Danio rerio: one gene and its partner. The protein of the gene in region 1 purifies or fractionates together with the protein of each later gene. This does not show direct contact. Links are inferred from orthologs where the notes say so. Each region holds a gene or a part of one and is shown on either strand. Other genes may lie near its edges.

Evidence for each region. Proteins that work in one complex are often made in the same cells at the same time.
Region 2: the proteins of prkcq (region 1) and chuk purify together in Homo sapiens (affinity purification with western blotting, with the first as the bait; 3 studies listed by BioGRID). This does not show direct contact. The link is inferred for Danio rerio from reciprocal best matches to the Homo sapiens genes PRKCQ and CHUK.

The regions. Positions count from the first base shown.
Region 1 is NC_133179.1:26,076,548-26,080,214, forward strand, and holds part of prkcq (protein kinase C theta type), read left to right. Parts: intron 1-915; coding exon 916-1,025; intron 1,026-1,835; coding exon 1,836-1,974; intron 1,975-3,593; coding exon 3,594-3,667. UniProt on the Homo sapiens protein: Calcium-independent, phospholipid- and diacylglycerol (DAG)-dependent serine/threonine-protein kinase that mediates non-redundant functions in T-cell receptor (TCR) signaling, including T-cells activation, proliferation, differentiation and survival, by mediating activation of multiple transcription factors such as NF-kappa-B, JUN, NFATC1 and NFATC2.
Region 2 is NC_133188.1:28,585,333-28,588,999, reverse strand, and holds part of chuk (inhibitor of nuclear factor kappa-B kinase subunit alpha), read right to left. Parts: intron 2,272-3,667; coding exon 2,147-2,271; intron 2,035-2,146; coding exon 1,927-2,034; intron 1,845-1,926; coding exon 1,709-1,844; intron 1-1,708.

The DNA of each region.
Region 1 (3,667 bases):
AGGTAATTACTTTTTAACAATTTATCTGGCTATGCGAGTCTAAAGTTTGATTTGGAGTCAAAAAATTACTTTAACTACTTGTTCAAACTACTTATTTAAAATGAGTTAAAACAACACAATTCTTAAGGTATTTTTCGGACAACTTAATTATTTTAAGTTCAATCCACTTAAATTTGTAAAAAATTATTATGTTAATTTAATCGATTTGTTTTGTGACAATATGGACCATGGAACTCAGCATTTTTTATAGTGTTTCCTCTTTTCTTTTTATAGTACACTGACATTGCAGTACAGATGTCTTTAACAGAACAGAATAGATATGGTAATGGAGGTCCACAAGATGATAAATTAGAAATTAGTATTGCCATATGCATCGGAGGTCATATCAATAGCTGCCATTACGGTAATGGCATAATGTTGTCATTGTAATCCAAAAAGAAAATTAATTATTAGCCAATAAATTAGGAGTTATTTCTACACTTTAGATATATGCTGTTGATTTGTGCTTTACGTACTGCATGATACATAACATTCAGAAAACAAATGCCTGAGTTTATGTTAGCAAAAAGAAGAGTTCAGAAATTCAATTTGTAAATGACATTTAAAAATGAAATATCAGTATCAGCCAAAATGTTCTACATCTGTCCACGCTTGTTAAAAAATGCTTATATAAATGGATATTAAAAGTAAAATGTAATTATTCATTAAAAAAAACTATAAGGCACTTTGATAAGGCATTTAAAAAGCCAATAAGGCACATTAAATAAGGCATTTACCTGAAAACCTCTGAAGCAGTGTAGTGCAAATTCACCCTAAAACTAACAAGAATGACTTATTATTAAATATAAATATACTTAATAATGTTTAATGTCTACATGAAGTTTCGGTTTACTAATTTTAATGTTTTCTTTGCAGAGTGTGGCATGAACGTTCACCATAAATGTCAGAAGAAAGTAGCAAACCTTTGTGGCGTCAACCAGAAGCTAATGGCAGAGGCCCTGGCTATGATTGAGAGCACTCAACAGGTTAGAAAACAAGCATGTAACAAATGTCAATGCCCTTTACCGCTGTTCGGTCGTTTAAATAGGAAGATTGTAGAAATTATCGTGAGGAATTAATCACAAAATTGAATTAAGATGTGTATAGGGCTGCATGATACTAGAAAAATATTCCATATGCCATATCTTTGTTACAATTGCAACATTTATAATATAAATATCAACATTTCTTATGATAAAACTAACAAACGATTTTATCCGCAATTATTTAAACTATTTATGTAATAATCATACAAAAATAAACAGGTCATAATAGATATTTTTAACAGCTAATATATAATTAAATCTACATTTACATTTATTTACAATCTAAATAAAACTATGTCAAGGTGGAAACATTTAGACTTTGATTTACCACTGAAATAACAGAATTCTGATTCTTATTGGCTGTTACAATACAATAACCTGCACTTTGAGTCACAAGATGGTGACAAACAACACAAACTGACAGAAATGAAATAAAGCATAGACTAACCTTACATATTATTTATTCACAAGATAACAGTCAAACAGTCAAATGTAGCAGCGGGACAGACAAGCAGATACATATGAATGTGGAAGTATGTATATAAATTTGAACTAATGGACATATTCACTAATGGTAGATTGATTCAAAGTTCCAAGATGAGCCTGTTTTATTCAGCAGATGTTATCTGGGAATAACATACCTTCAAATTTCGCAACTGACAAATTTGAATCGAGCATCACAGACAACAGTGTAAAAATGTAAATTAAATAGAAGAGTAATATTAAATAAAATGAAATGAAATTTTACAGCAAGCTCGGAGCTCCCGGGATACTGAGACTGTTGGTCGAGAGGGTCCGGTCAGCGCAGATCAACCAGGGGTCATTAGAGAGCCTTCAGGACGCTTAGCGATTTCCCCCCTTACGCCTGCACCACCGCTACCACGCAAAGGTAATTGCTTATGAGATTTTCAAAATGCACCGCTATTTTCTCATGAATCAATTCTGATTCATGCTTCGTTTTTAGCAGCAGAAGTTGCTGTATGGTTTACAAAGAGCCGTATCCTGCTTGCATCCTAATTCATAAATACCACTTGAACTTAAAATAATCATTTATAAAGTTGGGAATAAAGGTTTGAGTAAATAAGTCTCGAGTGTGGGCTGTGTTAACATTAATCTAGTGACATAAAAGCAGCTTGCATGATTTTGCTGAACACACAAGTGCTCATCCTTATGAGTGTGTGGTTAAAGATTAGCCTTGAGCAGTATTTGCTTTTTTAAAAACTAGCATAGCGCACCATCATAGAGCACCATCTGTAAATGCCTAGCCTAGAGTGCCATCTGTTGTTATTAACTTGCAGTGACTACTATTAAAAACTAGCCTATACCGGCATTTGCTTCCAGCCTGGACTGCCATTTGCTGTTAAAAACTAGCCTAGTGTGCCATCTTAATAACTAGCCTAGAGCTATCTGCTGTTCAAAACTAGTCTAGAGCGCCTTCTGTTGTTCGAAACTAGCTTAGCTTGCCTTCTGCTGTTAAAAACTAGCCCAGAGCGCCATGGGCTGTTAAAAACTAGTCTAGAGCACCTTCTGTTGTTAAAAACTAGTCTAGTTGTTATTAACTAGCCCAGAGCGCCATGGGCTGTTAAAAACTAGTCTAGAGCAACATCAGTTGTTCAAAACTAGCCTAGAGTGTCTTCTGCTGTTAAAAAACTAGCACAGGGCACCATATGGTATTAAAAACTAGCCTATAGCACCATCTGCTCTTAAAAACTAGTCTAGAGCACATTCTGTTGTTAAAAACTAGTCTAGTTGTTACTAACTAGCCTAGAGCACCATCAGTTGTTAAAAACTAGCCTAGAGCGCTGTCTGATGTTAAAAACTAGCCCAGAAAAAAAATAGCATATAGCACCATCTGCTGTTAAAAACTAGTCTAGAGCACCTTCTGTTGTTAAAAGCTAGTCTTATTTTTTTAACTAGCCTAGAGCGCTATCAGTTGTTCAAAACTAGCCTAGAGTGCCTTCTGCTGTTAAAAACTAGCTCAGGGCGCCATATGCTATTAAAAACTAGCCTAGAGCACCATCTGTAGTTAAAAACTAGTCTAGTTGTTGCTAACTAGCCTAAAGCACTATCAGGTGTTAAAAACTAGCCTAGAGTTCTGTCTGCTGTTAAAAACTAGCCCAGAGCGCCATAGACTATTAAAACATAGCCTATAGCACCATCTTCTGTTAAAAAGTAGTAAAAAGTAAAAAGTAGAACACCATCTGTTCACAACTTGCATATAGCGTCATCTGCTATAAAAAAACACTACATAATAATGCATTGTGCAATGCCATGTTTTTAAAATATGAACATATTATTTTCATTTTCATAGACGTTTGATTTAATTCTATTCCATCTCGTTTTATTCTTGAAATACTAAATGAATGCTTAAGACTATGCTTATGGTCAATTATCTAATCCCTATAAATATTCCCTTGAGCAACTCAATACATTTTAGAATTGATCAATTGATTGATTGATTAATTGATTGATTGATTGATTGATGCCCAACTCTTCGTTCTTGCATAGAGCATCAAGGTATTTCATGGGACTCTCCAGCTGACGGACGCAGACCCAGTCTTGAAGAGCCTGAGCCCCTCTAC
Region 2 (3,667 bases), on another chromosome or scaffold:
AGGATTAGGGCAAAGCAATAGTAAAAAAGACAAAACTTAATTAAATCTTGAGATTATAATGCAATATTAAACTCATATAATCATAATACAAGAACACATAAAATGTAAAAAAAAAAGAAACCTCTAACTAAAATTTTAAGAATAAAGTAATTGTGTTTTTTGGGGTGAAAAAAATTTACATTTAGAAAAAAAAAAAATGCTGCAAGGTGCTGTCCATGGCTATGGTGCTGAATTGAATGGGAAACTGTTTAATTAATCCTACTACTGTAATTTTAGTATCTACTCAAGCAAAAAAGCTAACTTTGTACATCATTTCCAGACATCAGAGAGCTCCTATCAATATGCAGGGTACTGATTTTGCATTTAAATGCGCAGAGGTGTTTCACTTTTACTTTCATTTTTGTCATAACAGGTTCTCTGTGTAAACTGAAAATGTTTTAGATTAGATAGTTTACAATGAGGTCATCATATGTTTAGCATGAAAGACTCAACCACAGTCTCTCTCTCTTTACTCTTGACCCTTGGGTGAGTTTGAAATTCTGGGAGTGGTGGGTTAAGAGTTTTATACATAGGCGGTGAGTGACCAGATAAAGAACTTGAAAGGGATTCACATGGCACAGGACATAATGCATATGCTCGCACAACACAAAAGTAATGTGCAAAGAATGTAAAATACAGGGTGCACAGACAGAGCTGCAGCTGCACCCGTAAAACCTGAAAGCCTTAAAGGACTTCTATCCAGTTCACTTTAGACATGAACAGTCGCACCAAAATCACGGATGTAAGCTACTATTAATTACAAATGAGTTTGTCAAACAGTGTATCTATGCATTTATTCACTTGCTTTTGACACGCAAAGTTAAACATCAAATGTTCTTCACAACTTCATTAGAGTGACTCTCTTTTCGTTCACTTTTATATTACACTAGTGATAAATAAACACATTTGACGCTTTTACCATGCTGAAAACTTATCTACATTGTCCACAAAGTCCAAAGATCAAACTTGATGGTCAATTAAAATAGGGTGCAAGCCAGGTAATCAAGCCAAACATGGAAGGACCAGATCATGCGATCTATATAAATCTGAGTTCACTTTAAATATCTGTGGCAAATACTGATCCTGAACCAACAGTTATAAGCAGCTTTTCTCTCGATAAGCAACTAGAGGAAGCAGCAAGCAGTGGTTTGAGTGAGAAGGTACCACGGCGAATGTTATCTTTCCTACTCTCAAGCCAGTGCTCTGCTAAAAATATGCATAACATCGAAATATGCATAATAATGACTTTTTTCTTGAACTTTTATGACTGTATTAACATCTAATTTTAACATTCAGACATTAAGAGTTTTTTTGTGATACACAATGACTTCACATGTAACGACTTTAATTTTAAGATTCCATTCTATTCTATTATTTTTCTTGAAATTTTTCTCCACGTCTGTTATTAAATGGTTGGGTAAATAAGTGAAGGTTATGAATAACGTATTCAACTACATGCAGAAAAATGTGTAACTCTTGGCAACCAGAATAAGACATCTCTTAAATAGCTGATGACATTTTTAAAACCACTGTTAAAAAAACAAACACACATTCATGACAACAAAAAGAAGGCACCACTAAACAAACCAGACAAACTGTATAAAATAAAGCATAGATATAAATCTTAAAGACATCATAAAGAAATGATGTAATAATGTCAATGCCAAACCTTCATGCTCAGTATTTGATCTAGAAGAACAAAGCACTGGGGCTGTTTTGAATCTGTGTTCAGTCCTAATCCTCTCTGTACAGGGTCCCATTTGAGCATCAGCTGTAAAAGGCCTTCCAAGGGCTCCAGTAGTGTCCTGTGGAAACAAAAACAAATTGATAACTCAGAAATAACGGGTTAACACATGTTAATATATATTTTAATTGTATGAAGTGTACCTGCTAAGATTGTTTGGGTATGGAAGGTGGGTGGAAAAGCGGACCTCGCCATTCATATCTTCCACAGCCATTATATCCTTCGGACCTTTGTTTCGCACTTTGCTTGTCCTAAAAAAAAATATATATGCTTACTTATACGCAACTATATGGCTAGGTTCCTCTTGAAGAAAGGGTATATGAAAGATGGCATTATCAGCATGCAGGTTATGAGGACACATACCACTGCACAGGCTGAAGATTGTGAAGAAATGGACGAAATCCACAGCAGCATTCAAAGATCATGGTGCCAAAGCTCCAAAAGTCCACAGTGACTGTGTAGGACTTGCCTTCAAAAAGCTCTGGAGCCTGAAATAAATGGCATGGCCAATTTATTATAAGAATATTTAAAAATATAAGAATGTATAAAGATGAATAAATCTGAACATTGGATCCAATTCTTACTTCTTTTTTCACATTTTAAAGTAGATTTTTTTTGTGAACAGGATTTTAAAAATAAATCTATTTTTATCAATCGATAATTGTGAAATCAGGGCTCTAAATTAACCTTTTTTTCAAAAATGTAGGCGCATCAGCCATAATTTAGTCCCACACACCAATAATAAGCACCGTTACTACAAGTTTTATAGAAACAGATTTATTGCATTTGAAATCAACACTAATCAAGCTAACAAGCAAAAAAATATATATGCATACTGGAGGAAAATATGTCTCAACGAAACCCCGTTATCACAAGAAAATACATTTTTATAACATAACTGACTGACCAAAAGATACACGGACCGCTCACCGGCCCTGCACGCACTGCTTGACATGAATGAATCTGTTAATCATGTAACTGTGCTGTTCTCCTGGATGGTGTCTGATATTGCACTGATGCTTTTGACATATACTGTACCTTATTATATGCATACGTCATGTTTATAGCAATACCGGTCTTTTCACGAGTAGCGATATTTGTTTACTCAGTGCAAGCCCATTTGTGATGGTGTACGTTGTGTTAAATTTTAACGTTACATATAGCTGCCACTTGCATGGCGGACAACATTTAGTGATTAAATAAAGGATTAAACAGAACCTCTCGTGCTAGATGTGGCAAACAGTTACCTTAAAATTCCATCCCACAGACTTTTTCATAGTGGACTTGAAGCCAATGGAAGTCTTTTAATAGCAATGTTAATAGCAAAAAAACATCCAAACTTCGAAAAGTGTAGATGGTGGATTAACATTCAGCACATGATCACTACTAAGATGTGTCATTATCTCTAACTTTAGATGCCATGGTTTCTAAAACAAAATCTGTCAGTGTTATCTTCATTCCCATCTTCAGTGCTTTACATTTTTAAGGTAGTAGCTCTCCCTGTCATCCCAAGCCATAAAACACTGACTGAGTGATTGTGACTGACAGCTGATATTAACCAATCCACTTGCGATCAGTTCTAGAGCAGAGGGCCAATAAGAAAAGCGTGAAGGCGGGGCAAGCATTACAGACTTGGTTTTGTTTACTGACGCAAAGTTGACATGTTGACAACTGTTTAAAAACCTTCCTGCGCACTGCGTTTCAAGTGCAAAGATGCATTCTGTGTGAATGTCTACCCAATCCGTGCATGTGGTGAACATTTTGCAGTAAAAACTGGTTGCACACAACAATTTTATGCTCTTACACAAATGCTCCCAAATATATTTTGAGGTCGCATAGATAAAATTGTGGGCGCATATGCGACCAAAATGGTCACAATTTCAA